3 linked regions of the Tamandua tetradactyla genome follow. The protein of the gene in region 2 purifies or fractionates together with the protein of the main gene of each other region. This does not show direct contact. Links are inferred from orthologs where the notes say so. Each region holds a gene or a part of one and is shown on either strand. Other genes may lie near its edges.

Region 1 (7,215 bases), about 83 Mb from region 2:
CTTGAAATACAGCAAATGAAAAAAGCATGTTAATTCCTTTCTACCCCATCCAAAAAAATATCCTAACATATTAGCCAAAGAGGCTTAGAATGAATGCATAAAGCTCGGTGTTGTTAGTGTGACTCCTCGAAGGCTAAAATTACAGGGACAGGTGCCCAAGACTGAGGGTGTGGTTCTGAATGATTCTAGACAAACTGGATAAGCCAGCAGAAAGCATGTTGTACCTCCAAAGCCAATTTTACCTGCAGTAAACTGGTGACCGCCACCTCTGTGTGATTCTACAAAGCTTCTCAGCACCCAAGCCAGTGTGTGTACACCTCTCCACTCAATCCTCCCTCTCTTTCTCCCCTTCTGTTTCTCTCTCTTTCTCTCCCTCCCTCTCTCCACACATGTACAGCTATGAGTCTACATTTTCTGATCATCTTACAAAAAAAAGTTTTTTTTAATAGTACTAATTCACAGAGACCATCTGAGGACTAAGAGGAGAGAGACTTACTTTTCATTTTATGTCTTTTGAAAACACGGATTTTCTTAGCACATATATTATTACCCTTTTTTCTCCCAAATACCAGTGAGGGCTGAGTGTTAGGATGACAGATCACTTTTGTTTCCTTCCATACACTTTTGCCCTCCTACCTTTCCTCTTTTTGAGTTGGATACATCTTCTAAAAAAAGGTTAGCATAATTTACCAGACTGGTCATAAGAGATAAATTATTTGGGACTTAAATGTACTTCGGAATATTTTTAATGATCTTGATTATATAACTGAAAAATTGTCAAGCAACAAGTTTTTCTTTAGGTCTCAGATACCAAGAAAACTTACTTGATGTCCTGAAGAGGATATCTTTAACACAATAAAGTGCAAATGAAGTTATTGCTATGTTTTTATAATATCTTTTGTACACAACCTCACCACTGAACTTCAGTGGTAAAGCTATACCAGAGTATAGAAGAGGGAAAATTATGTTCAAGGAATAACATCCTTAGTATAAACCCTTACCTGTAACAAGATAGTTCATGATGAGACGATTCATGTCTGCTCGCTGAATATGTAAGTTATTGAGTTTTTCCATCCATTCATCTTTTGTGATTTCATCGGGTTTTTCTGTATAACTCATTCTGATGTATTTCTACAGGAAAAAAACATATTATCTTAAAGAACTAGTTACAAATTCTATAACAATCGTGATTATTTCAGAAAATAATAACAAGAGTCGTGTCATAAGAAGTAAAAGGGAGAGAATGGAAAGATACTCTAACTTTGGAAAACAGCTCATGCAAAGGGCCCAAGACCCAGAAGTGTGTCTGTGCAGCAGGAGGAAGGTCAGGGGGTTGAGGAGGTGGGATGAATGTGGGAAGAGCCAAGAGATCTTGGACCTAGGAAGTTGAGAGATCAGCTGAGGTCAGATCAAGTAAGACCTCATAGTCTGAGAGAGGAGGTTAGAGTCTCTCTAAGTACAAATGGAGCCACTAGAGAGTTATAAACTAAATTATTACATGTTATGACTTAGGTTCTAAAATGAAGGGAGAACAATTGTATACCCACTAGATCAACAAAAAAATCGGACAATACCAAGTATTAGAAAAGGCCTGGAGTTCTCTCAATCTCTGTTATTTGGTACTGTGTAAAACAACTTGGCATTTTTAGGTAAAAATGAACATGTGGATTCCTTATAACATGGTAGTTCTACCTATACCACATTTATACCCTAGAAAAACTCACAAACCTGCAGTAGGGACAGATACAAGCCTCTTCACATAAGCAATGTTCAAAAAGGCAAAATATGGAAACCACCCACAGTAGTCTGGACAAAGGAACTGACAGGGAGAATACAATACCATGTCTTAAACCCTTGGGACAGATTTGTTTCAGAAATCAGCCTTTTCCAGATGGTAGGAAGCTTATATGGCACAATTTACCATATGCGTATTACATAAGAATTTGGGGCAGCACCCTATAATCAAACATTATTTCTTCAGTGACGTGTACAAGTATTCAAAGAAGGTAGAATAAAGCCTATTAACCAGGTCATGTTTTACCACCAAATGGGTTAAAAAGAAAACCAAAAACTTCTGGTTTCAGAGCTTTTGGACTTCAGGATTGCTGAGAAGGAACTACAGTTTGTGTATCCACACAACAGAACTGAACAGAGTAGTTAAAACAATGAACTAACAATCACACATCACTTGCAGAAACCATGCTAAATGAAAAAAGTCAGTTACAGAGGTCTAAGTATGGCATGATAGTTTTGTAACAATCAAAAAGACTAACTAATATGTCCTTTAGGAACAAATATATATGTGGCAAAACTTTTTTTTTAAGTATGAGCAAGCAATATAAATCTCAGAAGGGTGGTTACCTGTGGGAGGATGACTGGGATGGCAGAGGCCACAGAGATGTGATTTATACATACATTATAGACATTACACATAGCAAATTGTTTCAGCAAACAAAAAAGTTAGAAGACGGTTCTGGTTTCCTGGTCAACGACGGACTGAACATAATAGGGTGCCTAGAACTGGGCAGGAAGACCAGAAGGGAGACATCCAAGCAAGAGAGGATAGTTGTCTAGACTAGAATGCTGGCAGAAGAGAAGGAAAGATATGACTAGAGTCAAGATTCTTTGGACCCTGAGGCAATGGGACTTGCTGATGGACTGAGAGTGGAGAGATACGACAAAGGGAAGAATGGAGAAGGACTTGGAGGTTTCCAGTTTGAGACCCTGGAAGGTAGGGCCACAAATGAGGAGGAAGGACTAGGAGAGGAACAAGTCTGAGGTGACCATTAGGCATGTAGGTGAAGTAAAGCAGGTACCTGGATCACAGGTCCTGAGCTCAGCGCTGGAAACATTAATTAGGGAAACATTCTCAGAGAAATAAAGGTTAGAGTTTGTAAAGATCACACAGGAGAAAGAGTAGATAGAGGAAACAAGACAAAAGCCCCCCGGGGACTTGGCGAATGTGTGTCTCCAAGCAGAGCAGACACCAGCAAAAGAAAACAATGTGAAGGAGCAGCAAGTGAGAAGTAAAACCGAGAGAATACGGTGACACCACAAAACATCCCCCGTACCTCCAGGTCAACTGTATAACTCAGTAAGAGCTCATTTTTATTCGCAGATAGAATTAAAGGTAGAGTTAGAACCAATATTAGAAGCCCAATATTTAAAAAAGGCACCTTTTCTCAGTTTTCACTTGGCAACGGGCAGTCACACTAGTATCACACACAGGTGGTAAGTGCGATTTTTTAAAAACGACGACTCTGAAGAACTGCCCTGTTCTGTTTTCCGCGGGAAAAACTCAGCAAGCTCAACCTCCAGCAGTTAAATAATCAACACAAATAAACACAAATTCTTAACCAGTAAAATAAATTCCTTAAACACCGAGGACAACAAACATTTGCTGTCCAGGCGGCATTTTACGCCGTGTCTGCTTTAAAACAGTTTTGTTGTATAAACCTTTCTCTTCGGGGAGACAGATTCAATATGTTCTGGACAACCATTAATTATTATTTTCGTAAGGCGAATGGTTAGACCGCAGGATAGAGCCTTCGTTCGAAAATGTTCTCCCTTTAAGAATAAAGCCTAAATTACGGCTCCGAAGCACAGTCGAGATTGGAGCACATTCTGGCCGAGAAGAAACGGCCAGCTGACGTGCAGACCCAGAAGACGACTGCCCTCCACTCCCGAGAGCGCGCACCAAAATCCAGACCCCTGCGTGGGCCCGGCTCCCAGACCCACGCGGGGTGAGCTCGGTCCAGGCGTCCCGGGGTCCGCGGGACGCACCCCAGGCACCCGGGCGCGAGGCCGCCGTCCGGCCCGTCTCCCGGCCCGGGATCAAGCTGCCCGGGCCCGCGCGGCCATCTTACCGTGCGGATCCCGCCTCCCGCGCTGCACGGTCTCGGCGGCGGCTCCGCGGCCGCTCCAGGGGGCCTGGGCCCGAGCCGAGGAAGGGGCGGCGTCGCGGGGGCGGGGGCGGCGGCAGCGGCAGCGGCGCCTCAGGAGAGGTAGGCGGAGGCCGCGGCGGAGGCGGGGGTGGGGGCGTGAGCAAGAGGGTAGACCACCGGCGGTCGCCCCCCCACCTCTCGCGAGATCAAGAGGCGGCAACCAATGAAGCGCTCTCGCGATGGGGCCGGACGCGGCGGCCGCCCGGAATTGCGGAGCCCCAGCTTCCGTTCTTGCGCAGAACTCCTCGTGCGGCGCCCTCGCTCTATGGGCTGGCGCGAGAGTCAAAAGGTATCGACCGCTTTTAGTAAAATGGCCGCCGCCGACGCGTCGTGATGTGGAAACTTCGCGCCGGGACGGCGACATCTAGATTGAGTCGGAGGCTAAGGTGCCCGCGTCCTTTCCCGTTCTTTGTGACAGGCCAGAGGGAATAGGACGCGGAGGCGGGCAGGGGGTGGATGGGGAGAGAGATGCCAGGCGCTCCAAGACCGCCCCTCCGACGGAATCGCTTCTCGACTGCTTGCTTCCCAGAGGCTCAGGCGAGACGCTGTTAGATCCGTACTGGGCGTGGGTTTCCTGAATGAGTGTTAAATTGAATTCATTGAGTTTATTCGACGAATGCTGGTAAGCGCGTTCTCGCTCGATGCCAGAAGGGTAAGCAAGAGCGGGCAGGGACGACCCAGCGCTCGTCACGTCCTCCCACCAGGGTCGCAGAACCGTCGGCGTCGACACGTAGGGACCCAGGCCTATTAGAGTTGAAGCTGAGTGGGGCGGGGGCTGAAGAAAGACCTCCTTGGAGAAGCGAGCGACGCAGTCCTCACTGTATTCCTAGCCGGGCCTGGCTGGCTTCTTCTCGGGGATATTTGTTGTAGAAGGGCAGTGGCGGGAGATGAGCGCTGGCTGAGGGCATAAGTATATATTTGCGTGTTCATTTACTCATTATTGTATGTCTTCTCAAGAACAATGTAAACTCTGTCAGAGCAAGGCCTTGTTTTTTTTTCCTTACTGAAAAGTAAAGGTAAAGATTGAAGAGCTTTAGAAAGAAACAGAAGTATTGAGCGGGCAACCCCTTGTTTATCCGATGATGGCAACTAAATTTGTATGTCGTAGATAAAAGTAGTTGCTGACATATACTGCATATGTGTGTTTTAAATTGATTTATGTCAAAACTTTGGACCTACAGAATTAGGTTATTCAAGTAAAGAAAATGCCCACAACCAGACTTCATTTACACACTTGTCTGCCATATTAGACTGACTTTGCTCAGAAAATGCCTTGACATTGCTTTCTCCTTAGGAAGGAAAATTAACAGTCCTTGGTGATTGACAGTTTGTGGAAACTAAGGGAGAGGGGTCAGATCTGCAGCCCGATAGATCAGTTCAGGGGTGATGGCACCCAGTGAGAAGGATACAAAAGGGGGAACGCTCATGATGAGGAATGTAGTAGGGGGAGAAGGAAAGATGGTAAGTTCGTTGTGGGCGGGGCTGACTTTGAGGTGCTTGTGGGACGCATCTAAAGCTCAAGGGAAAAGATCAGGCTGGACTGGAATGTTTTGTGGTGATATCGTGTGGGAGTTAAAATAGTTAAATGTGTTCTGGGAATGCACATAAAGAGAAGGAGTGAATTAAATCCATAATCCCTTAAGGCGACAGAGAAGAACCAAGGAATTTAGAAGGCTGTTCTCACAGCTTTAGGGCATAGTGAGTTTCATGGAGATGTGATTAGCAATGTCGAATGTCCCCACAGCTTTAGGGCATAGTGAGTTTCATGGAGATGTGATTAGCAATGTCGAATGTCCCCACAGCTTTAGGGCATAGTGAGTTTCAGGGAGATGTGATTAGCAATGTCCAATGCAACAGAGAGATCTAGTTTGATAGTCACCCAAAACTCACCATTTGATGGTTATTGGTGACTGAGTGATGGGGTGGGACTGGAAGAATCAAAATTACAGTAAGTTGTTAGGGGAATGAGGGTGAGGGGAAGAGAGTAATGTGTTCCACACTTTCAAGAGGGATTGGAGAGCCATGCAGCAAATGAGTGATGGGAGCCTGTGGAAGAGGCCATATTACACACTTAAGCAACAGGATTTGATGACTGAGGAGGAAGGAAGGAATCAACGATAATTCCAGGCTCCGGCTTGGGCATTTTAGTATATAGGGTGAAACTATCCAGTGAAGAAGGAAAGCCAGAGAAGGACCTGGGTTGTGGGGGAGGGTCGGAAATCATTAGTTCAGTTTTGTATGTGTTGGGGACACTTGAAACATCTAGTTGGAGCTGTCAGGGAAGGAACTGCATGGATGGGCCTGGATCCAGGAGAGATAACAAGTAACCGAAACAAGGTGTGAATGAGATTTCCTATGGCTAGTATATAAGAATGAGAATAGAGGGGCCTAGGCAGGAGCCCTGAAGAACAGCATCACCATTGGGACCTGGCAGCAGAGTCTGTGAGATGACCGACAGAAAAGTGTAAGGGAGAGCAGGAAAGAGGTAGATGGGTCCAGGAAGAGGAGAGGGTGCACGGCCACATTGGTCACCATCTGGGATCAAGATTAACTGGCTGCACTTCCTGATGTGGAAGAGGTGGTGTCTGGAAGAGTGAGGCCACAGGACCTGGCCAGGTGGTCTGAACTCACTCGTCTCCAAGCCCAGGTGGTGGCTTTAAACTTGAGAAACTGTTTCTTTTTAAGAGAGAGGTTAGCAGTTCTATAAAGAGATACTAAAGGCATATTATTTTTCAAAGAACATTAATGAGGTTTTAAAAGAACATTAAAAAGGGAAAAGCATTTTGAGAATTTTATTTTGAGGATAAAATACATAGTCCTTCCTTTACTGAAATCGTAGAATGTTTGAAACCCAGGATTATCAATCATGTTTTTCAGAACCACATTATTTCACTAGATGTTTTTGTTTCACTCTTAAAATACAAACGTATAAAAATCAAAACCCAAAGTTCTGAGGCCTCTAGTTTTCAAAGGGTTTTGGCAAAAGCAAATAGTTTTATTCTTAAGGATAATATATGAATCAATCAGTTGTCCGTGCTCAGTACCCTTGGCACAGCTAGGTAGTAGATACCTAGAAATCAGTGTTCATAGACTTCTCTTTTCACAATATTCAAAAAATTTCTTTATGAGGATGTTAGAAGTGAAGAATTTTTTGTTATTTAGTTCTGCTGCACATAATCACATGTCTGCTGAACTGAGGCGCTGTAACGCAAGTTCAGAGGGGATTTTTTTAATTGTCTGCCCTGTCGCCCCACATTTGCCTGATTTTATA
Region 2 (6,836 bases):
CGCTGCCTCAACCAGAGGATGTTAAATATGCCCTCCCTAACAGTTGTTGTTGGTTTTGCATGGGCAGGCACCACGAATCAAACCTGGGTCTCCTGCATGGCGGGTGAGAACTCTGCCTGCTGAGCCACCATGGCCTGCCCTCCCTATCAGTTTTTGATCACCTCTTTACTTTTTAACACAAGATGTTCCAGGAAACTGTGCATTCCCTAACTCAATCTCAGAACCAGCCGTTTCTTCAGTTGGGGTTCTTTCTTAACATTTTGAAGCCAAAGAGATCTGAGTTTGAAACTGGTTTCTTTAATTTTTTCTTTTAGCAACTTTAATGTGATATAATTCATATACCGTACAATTCATCTATTTTTATAGTATACAATTTAAAAGTTTTTTAGTATAGTCACAAAGTTTTGTAACCATCACCAACAATCTAATTTTTTAATATTTTTAACCCCTCTATAAGAAACTTCACACCCACTAGCATAGCTCCCCATTTCCTCCCAAACTAGGTAAGCATTAATCTGCTTTCAGTCTCTATGGACTTGCCTATTCTGTTCACTTCATATAAATGGAATTACACATGTGGCCTTTTGTGACTAACTTCTTTCCCTTAACACAGTGTTGAAACTGGTTTCTGCCATTTAATTTCTGCAAAACCTTAGGCAAGTTACTTAATACCAGTCCTCAGAGGTCATTATTATAATCAAATAACATATTCAATAGATAATTATTGACCTTAGTTGAGCGAGACATACACCAATCTACTTGCTTGATCTTTTGCACTCATTTTTCAACAAATACTTATCAAAGGCATTATTGTAGGCACTGAGTCTACACCAGTGAACAAAAGATATCCAAATCTTCCTGTTCTCATGGAGCTTACATTCTACTCACAGGAAACAGGCAATAAACAAAATAAATATGTGAAATATATACTGTTTTTACTAGACGGTAATGACTTCTAGGTAGAAAAATAAAACAGACCTTTTAGGAAGGGTTTGTATAAGGTGATCAAGGAAGGTGTCCCTGAGGTGACATTTAATTAAAGACCTTAAAGCAGTCTTGCTGACAAGATTTTAGTTCTTTAAACTAGGAAAGAAATATGAAAATTAGCCTCCTTTTAAATGCCCTCTGAGATTATCAGGTTTTAGGAAAGTTTCCTTATATCTAATCTGTACTTTTACTATGAAGCTTAAACCTGTCAATTGTTTTCTCATCATAGGGTATTTCTCAGTGGCACTAGCATCATTGCAATAGCAGTGTAATGTAGCAGTTAGTGTAAAGTAGTAGAGCTTGACTGCCAGAGTTCACACTCTAGTTCTTCATTGCCAAGTTGCAGTAATCTTGGACAAGTAACTCAGTCTCTCTATGTCTCAGCTGCCCAATCTGCAAAATTCAGATAATAATATTGCCTACCTTGAAGTTTGTTACGAGAAATGAGTTATTTCACATAAAAATGCTTAGATAATGTGCTGGTTGAAAGGATATATGTTCCCTAGAAAAGCCATGTTTAATCAAAATCCCATTTCATAAAGTTAGAATAATCCCTGTTCAATACTGTATGTTTGAAGCTGTAATCAGAACATCTCCCTGGAGATGTGATTTAATCAAGAGTAGTTGTTAAGCTGAATTAGGTGATGACATGTCTCCACCCATTGGGTGGTCTTGATTGGTTTCTGAAGTCCTATAAAAGAGGAAACATTTTGAAGAATGAGAGCGATTCAGAGAGAGCAGAGAAGAACGACATAGCCCTGAGAATCAGAGTCTACCAGCCAGCAACTTTTGGAGATGAAGAAGGAAAATGTCTCCCAGGGAGCTTCATGAAACAGGAAGCAAGGAGAAAAAGCTAGCAGATGATGCTGTGTTTGCTATATGCCCTTCCAGATGATAAATGTACCCAGACCATGTTTGCCATGTGCCCTTCCACTTGAGAAAGAAACCATGACTTTCATCAGCCTTCTTGAATCTAGATATCTTTCCCTGGATGCCTTAGATTGGACATTTCTATGGACTTGTTTTAATTGGGACATTTTCTCAGCGTTAGAACTGTAAACTCTTAACTTATTAAATCCCCCTTTTTAAAAGCCATTCTGTTTCTGGTATATTGCATTCCGGAAGCTAGCAAACTAGAACAAGTCCATAGTTTTCAACTTTATTGAAACTAAGTTTTCAATAAATATTAGCTGTCCATATATGTACACATAAATATACATATTAGGGATGTATTATCTATTGCTGCGTAAAAACTTACCCCCGAATTTAGCAGCCTAAAATAACAAAAAAATTGTCTCAGTTTCTGGTCCAGGAATTTGAGAATAGCTTAGCTGAAGAGTCAAAATGTCATCTGGGATACAACCTACAACCTAAATAGATAGATGGATGGATGGATAGATATATAGATAGGTAAAGACAGAATGACATGACAAATGTGGAAAAATGTTAGAAGTTGGTAGATCTGGGTGTCTGGATGAGGGTATGTTGGAGTTCTCTGTATGGGTTTTGTATAATTTTTGCAACTGTCCTGTAAATTTGAATTTATTTCAAAGTAAAACAAAAAAAATTTTTAAGTTATTATGCAAAACATGGAAAGTCTGAAAAATTATCACGTCCAACAGGAGCCTAAGGAGACATGACAACTAAATGTAATGTGATCTCCTGAATGTCCTGGGATAGAAAAAAAGACATTAGATCAAAACCGATGAAAAGAGAATAAAGATTAGTAATGTATCCATATTGGTTCATTAATTGTGACAAAGGTATTATACCAGGGTCATATATTAATATTCGGGGAAACTGGGTGTGAGGGACTATCTTTGTGACTTCTTTGTAAATATGAAACTACTCTGAAATTAAAAACTCATTTTAAATATTTAAAAAAAAAAAAAAGGGTATCAGCTCAAGCTACTATCACCTGAAGCCTTAACTGAGGCTGGAAGCCCTGCTACAAAGACAGCTCACTCACATGTGTATAGGCAGGAAGCCTCAGTTCCTCACCACCAGGACTTCTCCATGGGACTGCCGGAGTGTTCTCATGGCATGGCAGATGGCTTCCCCCAGAGTGAGTCACCCAAGAGAGAACAAACAGAAGTTGTATGATCTTTTATGACCTACGCGTGAAGTCACATTCCATCATTTCTGCCACATTCTATTCCTTAGAAATAAGTAACTAAGTACAGTGTGTGCTCAAAGGAGGAGAATTAAGCTCCACCTCTCGACTGGAGGATTATCAAAGGATGTGTGAACATATTTTCAAATCACCACAAGGGGTCATTCTTTGTTTCTTTTAAGTGCCTCTGCTTTACAAGTTATAGTGAGAATCCTTGGGAAAACCGCTCCTTCTACCATTTGTTTAAACCATAGAAATGAAAGGTAATTTCCGTTTAACATTCATACTTAAGAAAAGGGAATGTGGACTAGATATCCTAGCTTGAGAAAATCATCAACTGTAATAAATCTGTTATAAATAAAATGCCTCCTGTATTTAAGAGTCTTATATAAGCCAGCTGAAAAATGACTCCTGAAGATTTCCCAAGGGCTGGATTAGGATGGATTTAGAATATTGACAAATATGTCAACATGTATCTAAATAGATCAGATGGCCCGGACATAATAAACTATGCTGAATTGTCCCACCTAGGGTGACATTCCTTCCAAACATTTAGACATGGATGTAGCCATGATAGAGTCTCAGTTCTCAAATACTTGAACTCTCTGAGTGTAACAATTTGGCTTCTTATTTTACTGTGGCTGTGGAAAAAATCCAGTATAAAATATAGAAATAAGCTGAATATGTTTTTGTTCACAGTTAAACAAACGAACAAAAACATGGAACATGTTAGAAACTTAGGTTTGTATCTCTATTGTGCAACAGCTCTGAGATGAAATCCTTGGCAGAACAAAACAGAGAGAAGTGATTCTTCCACCTCCCTTATTAGCAAATAAAGTAGCTTCCCAGTTAAGTTATCCCCAGTTCTCTTCACATTTTGTTTGGTTCCTTAAAAACCTGGGGCAGTATAACACCCAGCCCCTACCTTTTCACCACCCAGACTTGAGAAATCAAAGGGAGAAAAATAGGCCTTCCTCAGTACAATAAGTCAGGTCCATCCAGCTCACTAATGTGCCCCACCGAATCTGGCACCCCAGAGTTGCTCAGCTGGTGTTGCTGAATAAATCGTCTTTATATCACTTAGCACCCAGTCTCAGAGACTGAAAAAAGAACCTTTATTAGCTTCAAGTCCTTCAGCAAAACTTAAGTCAATGTTTCCAGGCATCAAAATTAATGTGTTTTTTTTTTTTGCTAGAATAACATATATGACTATATATATATATATATATATATATATATATATATGACAAGGGAGGAGGGAGGCTGAAAATGATAGATTGACAAGGGAGACCAAATATGGAGTGGATATTCATCATTCGGTTTCTATTGGAGTTCTGAACCCATGTTGCTATACTGTCTTTCCATCTCTGAGCACTCTAGTATTTTAGGTTGCTAAACCACAGGCTCATTTTTGTGTTCTGACAAACTGATTTGACATGTAAGCAGTAAAATACAGCACCAGAAACAACACACCTGGTGTACCCACTCACCTGTGCTCAGAGCTGTGTGTTTCTCTCCTGTATCTTGTCTGGGTGCTGTTCCAACTTTGTGCTTCTGTCCAGCACGACTACTATTTAAACAGTGTGGTTGAACAAATTTTATCCTAAAGCTTCTAGGGAGCAGCTGGAGGGAAACAGTAAGAAGGACATCAGCTGTGTTCACCTTCATGATGTTGATCTAAATTGTGAATTAGTGTCCTTTCAAACACATAATGCCACATAGTGTGCCACACTGGAAAAAGTAAAAACTTACCAAACTGGAAAGTTCATGTATAATGTTGAAGGTAGAAGACTGTGTTAAGGAAAAAAAAAAAAAGCCAGAGGGAAAGCTACCTTGATAAAACCTCATCCTTTCTTCAAAATATTGCTGAAAATGTATCATTTAATTCTCTCCCTTCTAATTTCAAATTCATGATCTTAAAAAATGTTCAGATCTCTTCTAGTTTGCTAGCTACCAGAATGCAATATACCAGAAACAGAATGGCTTTTAAAAAGGGGAATTTAATAAGTTGCTAGTTTACAGTTCTAAGGCTGTGAAAATGTTCCAATTAAAACAAGTCTATAGAAATGTCCAATCGAAGGCATCCAGGGAAAGACGTCTTGGTTCAAGAAGGCCGATGAAGTTCACAGTTTCTCTCTCAAGTGAAAGGGCACATGGCGAACACAGTCAGAGTTTCTCTCTCATCTGGAAGGGCACATGGTGAACACGGTGTCATCTGCTAGCTTATTCTCCTGGCTCTACCAAAAAGGGACTCTCCAAAGTGTTTCCTCTTTAAAAGGATTCCAGCAAGCAACTCCACCATCAGTGGGTGGAGACACACCTCCATGGAAATCATCTAATCAAAAATTACCACCCACAATTGGGTGGGTCACATCTTCATGGAAACAATCAAAATGCCCCCACCCAGCAATATTGAATGAGGATCAAAGGGCATGGCTTTTCTGGGGTCCACCACAGATTCAGACCAGCACAAGATCCATTACAATAAAGCTAGAATTATGTTAACACAGTGATGCGATATGACACTGAGAACACGGAGTTGTGTCCTAAATCAGGATTGGATTAAGGTAGTAAAATGTGTTGAGGCAAGTCTTGGAGAAAACAACCGTAAATTGACAGCCCTAAAGTGCACAAACACTACATTCTCTTAGAAAAAGGAGGTAGCTATCTTTTTGAAGTTTTATAACATTGTTCTCCTTAATGTTTATTTATTAGAAACTAGAGCTATTACAATCAAAACAAGCATTGGAGGGGTTTTTGGTGTTTGATCAACCTGAGTTGGGTGGGCCTAGCTAATATCTAAAGGTAAATGTGGATATATTTTTATATTACAAAACAAGGAAAATCAGAACTGACTGCCATTTCCTGCTCTTCTTCCCCCACTTTTAAAAAATGTTTATTCGTACTGATTTATATGTAGAACGGAATGATCAAAATAAGGATGTTTGCATTTCCTTTGTGTTTTTTGGTATTTGAAAAAAAAAATGTTTATTCAAAAGTTTGAATGGGGAAGTGGGAATAGAGGTTTCATTCCAAAAGTGTTCCTTAATATGAGGCTCGAGTGTGGGTTTGGAGAGGGACCTAAATAATTTTCTGTGAAAAACAAAATAATAGACAGGATCTGCTTGCTCAGAGCATTGTTCACTAATGTATTAATAAAGCACTTCTCCTCATTAATAAACCATTTTCACTTAGGGCTAATATATCAAATGAAATTTAAGATTTTATTTGGCTTCTTTTGCTCAAAGTTAAGCTTATTCATGTTGTTTGCTGTATTTAGTCATGTTTTGCTTATTCTCATTCCTGTATAGCATTCCAATACTTGAATATATCACATTTTAAAAATCCATTAGTGCCATTTATTAAATTACTCTCTCTTAGCCCCAAACCCACCCTTGTATTCTCAGCTTTGTAATGCTGGGGCTATGACTTGGCTAACTATTGGGTTCCCATTAGTTCTACAAGCTGGGCACTAGAAGAAAACTGAGAGGCTGAAAAGGACGGAAGGGACTTGCTCCTTCCTCTTTGCTTGCTTTTTTGTCAACATTATCTCAATTATGGCCATTTACCTTGGCAAGTTGGTTCCAGCCTCAAATTTTATTGTACAACCCAAATCAGTCTCATTGTGTCCCGTTAGAGGAACCATCAACGCAGGTCAGCACCTCCTCCTCAAAGATCTGAGTCTCAGCTTCATCCTTTAAACCCATAAGATCTAATAACCCCAACCTCTTTACTT
Region 3 (7,648 bases), on a different chromosome or scaffold from region 2:
CTATAGTCACAACTATTACATGCCATTAGGATACTAGGCACTGTGGACACAAAGCAAAATAAGAGAGGTAGTTCTGTCCTCATGCAGCTTACATTCTCATGGGGAAATGGGAGATAGGAAACAAGTAAGAAAACAAATAGTAAAAATAAATACAGACAGTGGTTCAGGAAGGAAAACCAATGAAATGGGGTGGAGACTTGTTTAGTTGGAAACTTTAGGAAAGGCCTCCTTAAGAAGGTAATATTTAAGTTGCGACTTGAATAATGAGGCATTAACCATGCCAGTGGGTAGGAACAGATGCCAGTCCAACGCAGCTCTGTTGGGGAAATTGGCTTGACAGTAGGGATCGAGCACAGTGAAAAGAAAAAAAAAGGACATAAACGATCAGGCTACAAAGGCAGGCCGAAGCCAGATCCCAAAAGGCTTTGTATGGAACCAAAGGAATTAGGGTTTTATTCTAAGGGCTAAGGGAAGCTACTCAAGAGTTTAGGGTAATACATGAACTGATCATTTTTCCAGCAGAAGAAACAAAGGCTGAGATCTATTATGGAGTTACAATTGCCAGGACTTACATTTGACAGCACTGTCCATCTCTGCATTAATGATGTGATCGAAATATACATCAACATGTTTTTAATCTATATTAGGCACTTATTAATTTCTCAGTGGATATATTTTATAAGGCATAGGCCTAAAATAATTTCAGATAAGGAAATGTAGCATTTAGAATAGGACACCTCATTTCTACTATAGGGAAGTATTCAAATGACCACATAAATTCTGAGTTTAGAAAAGCAATTCAGACAAAACGAAGAACTTGAACAGCAACCTGGATATGGTTATCAGTTTATCGTTAGCAAATAACAGTTACTTCCCACTTTAAAACATGTTACCAGTATTTGAAATCTTTCCAGAGCACGAAGTGCCTGCATTTCCTGGGGCGACCAACACTTGCTTGACGTGGTGAGACTGTGCAAGTTTCCAGGCCAGTGTATGTTCCCTTCCTCCACTGCCAATTATCAGCACACGGGCTGACATGGCTGTCTGCAAAGCAGGAATTCAAAAGGCAAATGAAAACTGCAGAAAGAAAACCAGAGCTAACATTCAGAATGCACACACTTTAGAAATCATAAAATTTCTAAATCTGATGTTAAGTAGTAGTTTGTACTCACAAAAATGACATTTTAGTCCAGAGATTCATTTTTGAATAAAAAATTGGGAGGTGAGATAAATGACAGTACTAACAACTGCAAAGGAAGTATTTTAAAAATGAGATAGACTGGCCTAACGAACTTAAGTTAGGGAGTGAAATGGGGTTTTACCTCCTTACCTAAGAACAATCTTACTTCTTCGGGATTCAATTTTAGAAAATTTAATAATCATCAAGCCACAGTTTAGAAAAACAAATGTTGATATTTTAGACACAAAATTTAAAAACCATTTTTAACCCTCGAAATCTTCCAATAGTTATCATTGACAGAAAAATATTTAAGACTGGAGTAGGCAAACTTTTTCTGCAAAGGGCCAGTAGTGAATATTTTCAGGTTTAGGGGCTGTAAGGTCTTTGTTCAACTACTCAACTCTACTATGGTATCATAAAAGTAGTCTTAGCCTTAAGTAAATGAACAAGCATGGCTATGCTCCCCTAGAACTTAATTCTACATAAACAGGCAAGCCAAAATGAGGTTGTAGTTTACCTATTCTGGCTCTAAGCAATGGGAAGCCATCAGAAATTAAAAACGAATAATCAAGACTGTTTCAATAAAACTTTACTTATGGACTCTGAAATTTGAATTTCATGTGTCATTAAAATCAACATTCTTTTCTTCTAATCATTTAAAGATGTAAAAACCATTTTGAGCTTGACGGCTGTACAAAAAGGTTGGTGGACAGGACTTCTCACCTGAGTCATAGTTTGCTGACCCATGATTTAAGAAATTAGTGCTATATGTTAGGAAATTGGCAGAGAAGGCAAAAATCAAATTTGAACCCCTTTCACTTCAGTTATCTGCCCAGAATGGACATGAACGCTCCCTTCTCTACTCCAGGGAGTGACACTGGCTAAGCTCTATCTGTAATTGTTTCCTCACATCTTAAAGGACAGCAATTACGACAACTTGCCTTACAATGCTATATAAGGATTTAATTGAAATGACATGTATAATCAAATTAGTATAATCTCTGGCACTCAGCAACACAGAATTGTGGCACTGTATTTTTTCTGAAGCCATTTAATTATGCAGAAGGCAAATTCATATCAGAAAAACAGAAAACTGAAATCAACTTACTATGATATGCTAAAATTATATATCTACAGAAAAATCTAAGTTGATACTATAAAAACTAATATTTTCTTGTGTGCATTTACCACGTGTCAGGCACTATTATAAATGCTTTTCATGAATTACCTCACGTCAATTTCACAAGGTTTATATGAGGTAACCATTAGCATCTTCATTCTACAGATGAGGAACTGCGAGGTTCAGTGAGGGTAAGTAATCTATAGAGGACACACAAATTAAGGATTGAAGCCTGGAAACCAACTGAAGCAAAGTTTAAAAACATTTTTATTGTGGTAATATAGTTAACATAATATTTTCCATTTTAACCAATTTTAAGTGTAGAACCTGCGGCACTAATTACACTTAAAATTTTATGCTACCATAACCATCATACATTATCAGAAGTTTGTTGTCACCCAAAACAGAAACTCCACATTCCCCTGGTAACCTCAAATCTACTTCCTGTCTTTATGAATTGGCAAATTCTAGATATTTCATGTAAGTGCAACCATACAACGTCTGTTTTTTGAGTGTATGGCTTGTTTCATTTAACACGATTTCTAGACTCATTCAGGAAATTTAAGCAATTTTGCTTCAGATGCTCTAACAACTGAGATGGTGACCACTGAAAATTTGAGGAAGAAAAATTCTATATTATAGTTTCAGAAGGAGAGAAAAGTAATTTTAGTTTAATGGAAAACATTGACATTTCACTTGCCACATATAATAAGACATCTGAAATAAACATGTATTTAAATCTAGATAAAATATCATATTTAGTTTAAATGAGAGATGCAGTGAAGGAAAACTTTGCTAGTTACTAAAAAGTTGGTCACTGAAACAGCCTGATTCCAGAGTCAAGGGTATATACCTCGATTTGGGTTGAACTTCTGCCCCTTCCTACCTGGGAGACGTGAGTGACTTAAATAAGCAAGATTCTTGAGTCTCAGTCACCTTATATCTAAAATAGAAACTTACTAGAAGAGAAGAGTAAGAGAGCTAGGAAGTTATTGCATAGGATCTGACAAATATTACAAAGAAGAAACCAATTACATAGGTAGAGTAAATAATCACTAGTGTACATAACGGGGAAATACGGCAAAAAACATCAACTTACTCTTATGGCCTAAAAAAAGCATAAAGACACAAAAAGATAAAGCCCTCACATCGCAGAAAGTAGGAAAAGTGATAGATCAAATGTAAACCTCTGTTAATAGTAATAAGTGAAAAGCACATGGCCAGACCCACCCAATGCATTTTTTTAACAATGCGTTTTAAAATGATGAAAACGTCTACAGCCAAGCCAGTTTCTACAGCTTCACTTCTTAATAGTAAATTTCCAAATCAAAGCACAAGTGCAGTTTACCTAAAAACGGAGTGAGCTTACGCACCGACACAAAAACGTCCCGCGCTGCCGCCTCGCACACTCGCCGGCGTGCTGAGCCCGGGCGCACGCCGTGGCGGAAGTTGGCGGAGCAGGATCCGCCCCGCGCGCTCCCCCGCCCCGCCTCGCCCCTCTTGGTCGGCCAGGCCCAGGGTCCCCAGTGCAAGGTAATCAAGTGTGGTCCCCTCCCTCGGGCGCGGCCTAAGCTCTGACCAATGCCACCAAGCCATCACAGGCTTATCATGTAATACTGTAACATTGAGTGCCACGTAACGTCTCCATTCCTCTCCGAGTGCCTCCTGAGGTCTGAGGAGGGGAAACCTCCTGAACGCTAAACCAATGAGTAGCTCACTGTATGTTGCTATCGAGAGTCTGGACTGCCCAGTTACCGCGAAGTCTCGTCACACTGACTCCTAACGAGGCTGGAATGTATCAGACTCTAAAAACAGGTAGCTCAGGACCTCTGCCCTATTGCTAAGAAATTGAGGCCGATTATAGCATGCAACGAGAGAGAGTCGGGGTAAAAACACGTTCTAATCATGCTTCAGGGGGGTGGGGGCTGAGTAGTTCTTTCCCGGATGTATCCTTCTGACAGAACTGAACTTGGCGCCCCCGTGACGCTTGGAGGCCCTTTGTCAAGAACACTGTATTGCTTTTTGTTCCTCCATTTCACTGCCATAAATTTCGGGCGTTCAGTCGCTACACGAGGCCTATTAAGCCCACTAAAGAATAATGGGACTGACAACCTCAGCCGACACATTCGCCTCAAAACAGGCTTCTCCTGTAATGGCGCCTGCGTCAGACACTAACATGGCGGACGCGATCGTGCGCGGCGCAAACGTCAGCAGCTCTACCCCAGCCGCTCAGAAACAGTGGAGGAGAGCGGAGCCGTGCTCGTTCATTGGCTCTGCGTCGGAGCGCGCCCGTCTGGACGCTCCCACAGGAGCCAATCAGAGGGGCGAGAGACGGAACTGGCCGCTGCGCCGCTTCCCGAGGCATGCTGGGAGCCTGGAGGACTAGCGAGGAGGAGTTGAGAGAACGGAGCGGACGCCATGGCGACCAACATCGAGCAGATCTTTAGGTCTTTCGTGGTCAGTAAATTCCGGGAAATTCAACAGGAGCTGTCCAGGTAAACGCTTCCCAGACTTTTCTGTTCCAAAGGGACCGCTAGGGCCCGATGTAGCTTTTCACGGCACCTTTCTTCAGAGACGCCGTCGTTCGTCTGCTCAGGCGCCGCTACGGCCCCGCCTGGGCCTGGGATCCATTTTCCGCCGCCCCCCCATCCCGTCTCTCCTTTTCCCGCGGGGAACTTCACCCTTTCTTAGGTATCCTTAGACTCCTTCGTCGAGAGCCCTGTTAAGATGTTCGCTCTTCTCTTTGGGTTGGTCATCCCTTACCCTTTAGCAACTTGGAGGCCGGGTTGTCCACTAGGGACGGGCCTAGTTTTTTTCTCAGCTCCTCCTCCGCTGCCGCGTTTCCCCTCCCCCTCTCCGCCGATTTCGCCAGCCGGTGTCTAGGACCGGAAAGGGTCTCTAACGGCCGTTTTTTGGTTTATCTTAAATCCACGTTATTATTTCAAGCTTCGGACCGTTTAGGGGCCGGGATGCACTAGTTAGGTTATACGGACCTTAGTGTCCTGTGGCTTCCACCAGGCAACAGGGGATAGAGATCTACATTAAAATAGCTCAGATTAGTTCGTTAGCTATTTTGTCAAAATATCCGGGACGAGGGTGGTTAGGGGACTTTGAAATACCAGTAATTTCTTAAATTTTAGCGAATTGCAGGCAGGTTTTGTGTGTAGATTTAGTTTTTCTTACTACTCCATTCTTGTTGACATATTTGACCTACGCGGTGCTTTGCAATTGCCGTTTAGACTTTAATTGCACTTGGTTTCACGAAATTTGAAGGGTAAGCGATTTCCAGAGAAGTGGTTGTTTATTCAGAGAGGAAAACAGCGTGGGTCATGTTCAGTGGTTGTCTTTTAATACTTTCGCTTTGTATAAAATACTTATTTTTTCAAAGTATAGTTGTGGAAAGATCTTGAATAGTTGTTCTGAGTGTATTTTTGCTAATTATATTTCTAAGGTTGAGAACAAGAGCAGTATGTGAATTTGAAAATCGGCCAAAAACGTAACTGTAAATTAAGTGCCCAGATGAATTTAGGATTATTGAGGCTGTTTTTATTTTTGCAGAATTATATTGTTTTTAAAGTGAAAATGTGTCTATTCATAACACTGCGTCTTAAGTGGTATTCTTAGGATGAGGAGAGAAGAGGACCTAAGGAAATAGAATTTCAATAACTTTTTATAGTAGCATACAATAAGTCCTTGTGTTTCCTTAGTTTAATTGGTCGTTTTTGTAGTTTTAAAAAAGTCAGTTTTTCTATTGGAATGTGTTTTATTGTAGAAAATTGAGAAAACAAATGAGAAAGTGAAAATCGCATAGTTATTTCTGTTCTTTCATTTTTTCCTTTCCATATATATAAAGATATATTTGTTTTGAGAAGTCCCATCATCTTGAATTGTGGGTTTTTCATCTAGTGAATTGTGAACAAGTTTCTCCTTTATCACAGTCTCAGTATTTTGCAACATTTTTCATCACTGCATAGAATTGTGTTGTAGGGATATATTGTTGGGTATTTAGTTGTTCAAGATTTTCATGAGTTCAAAGTAATTGCAGTTAACATCCTGGTATCTTTCTCTTTGACACTGTCATGGTTATTTCCGTATAGACTGACCCCATCCTATTTTTTTTTGTTTGTTTAAGTGTTGCGTTCTCTGATTTTTAGATCCTGGTAATTGCGTATAAATACTTGGGCATAGTGTGAAATTAAGTGATTCGGGAAGAAAGAAAGCATTTTGTTATTAGAGGAATATGCAGTTTCCACTCAAACAACATGTATTGCATTATCAGTCTAAAAACGAATTTTGGATTATTTGCCATTTCACTGGGTCCCCCACTCCATCTGCTTTTACATGCATCCTGTAGGTAATGAGACTGACATGAAGATACTTCAGATATGCTCTGTTATTATTCTAGAGAGACAGTGGCTAAGAGTCAGCCCTGGTTTTGAATACCAACTTCACCTTTGAAAGTCGTGTGACCTTTGGTCAAATTTCTCCTCTCATTTTCTTCATTTCTCACATCAGGAGAATGCTGGTCTTCGAGGTTTGTTAGGGTTAAATGAGTTTAAAAATGTAGAACAGCGAGATACATCCTACTTAGCAGTCAGTAAATGTTAATTATTATTATTACATGATTTATTATTTTGGAAAACCAAATGTTCCTTAACATCTAATTACCTACTGATATTTTGTATTTTTTGATTCAGGACTTTTGTCAGGTATAGAAGCATAATTGTTTTATTTTTAACTAAAATTGAAGTTAAATAAATATTGAAAGTGTTGAAACTATTTGATTTTTCACAATTGTGTAAATTTACACAAATGGTAAAAATGGCTAGGTAAATGGCATATTCTTAGGGCAAAATGCCCTTTGGCCCTTAGATTGAAAACATAAACCCATTTGCTGTTAGTCTAATTAATCGTCATTTGTTTTATGTGACTTTTAAACACCATTATTATTTTTTTAATGCCAGGATTTTTGATAATTGGGTGAAAGTTAAATGTATTTATTTTTCTTTTTAAACTTCCTGGCATTTCAGAAACAGTTTAAACCTAACCAAAGACTGTAAGTAAGTCACCCTTTTTACTCAGTGTGCCCATGACCAACTTTGTGTTTCATGATGTTGGTGGTGATTGTGATTCATGCACAGGTGTGGCTTTATTGTTGTGATAGTTTTTAGTGTGATGTTCAAAAGTTAATATTTTTCTTTGAACTTTTGATTTGGCTTTTAATAATTTTTCTCCCTTGATAGAAATAGACAGGTAAACCAAAAGCCTCAGTGTAGATTTCTAGGGGTTTTGTATTTAAAAAAATAGGTGAACCTAGAAACTTTTTAAATTACTTTTTCTTAACTTTC

The links.
Region 1: the proteins of SRPK2 (region 2) and DIDO1 purify together in Homo sapiens (affinity purification with mass spectrometry; 3 studies listed by BioGRID and IntAct, with this or other methods). This does not show direct contact. The link is inferred for Tamandua tetradactyla from reciprocal best matches to the Homo sapiens genes SRPK2 and DIDO1.
Region 3: the proteins of SRPK2 (region 2) and SON purify together in Homo sapiens (affinity purification with mass spectrometry; 4 studies listed by BioGRID and IntAct, with this or other methods). This does not show direct contact. The link is inferred for Tamandua tetradactyla from reciprocal best matches to the Homo sapiens genes SRPK2 and SON.

What each region holds. Positions count from the first base shown.
Region 1 is NC_135327.1:60,503,326-60,510,540, reverse strand, and holds the start of DIDO1 (death-inducer obliterator 1), read left to right. Parts: upstream 1-4,204; 5' UTR 4,205-4,330; intron 4,331-4,340; exon of another isoform or gene 4,341-4,566; intron 4,567-7,215. Other genes in the region: GID8 (glucose-induced degradation protein 8 homolog), read right to left, coding at 1,002-1,119. UniProt on the Homo sapiens protein: Putative transcription factor, weakly pro-apoptotic when overexpressed. Tumor suppressor. Required for early embryonic stem cell development.
Region 2 is NC_135327.1:143,768,623-143,775,458, forward strand, and holds the start of SRPK2 (SRSF protein kinase 2), read right to left. Parts: upstream 3,016-6,836; 5' UTR 2,957-3,015; intron 1-2,956. UniProt on the Homo sapiens protein: Serine/arginine-rich protein-specific kinase which specifically phosphorylates its substrates at serine residues located in regions rich in arginine/serine dipeptides, known as RS domains and is involved in the phosphorylation of SR splicing factors and the regulation of splicing.
Region 3 is NC_135336.1:93,913,181-93,920,828, forward strand, and holds the start of SON (protein SON), read left to right. Parts: upstream 1-4,637; 5' UTR 4,638-4,718; coding exon 4,719-4,795; intron 4,796-7,648. UniProt on the Homo sapiens protein: RNA-binding protein that acts as a mRNA splicing cofactor by promoting efficient splicing of transcripts that possess weak splice sites.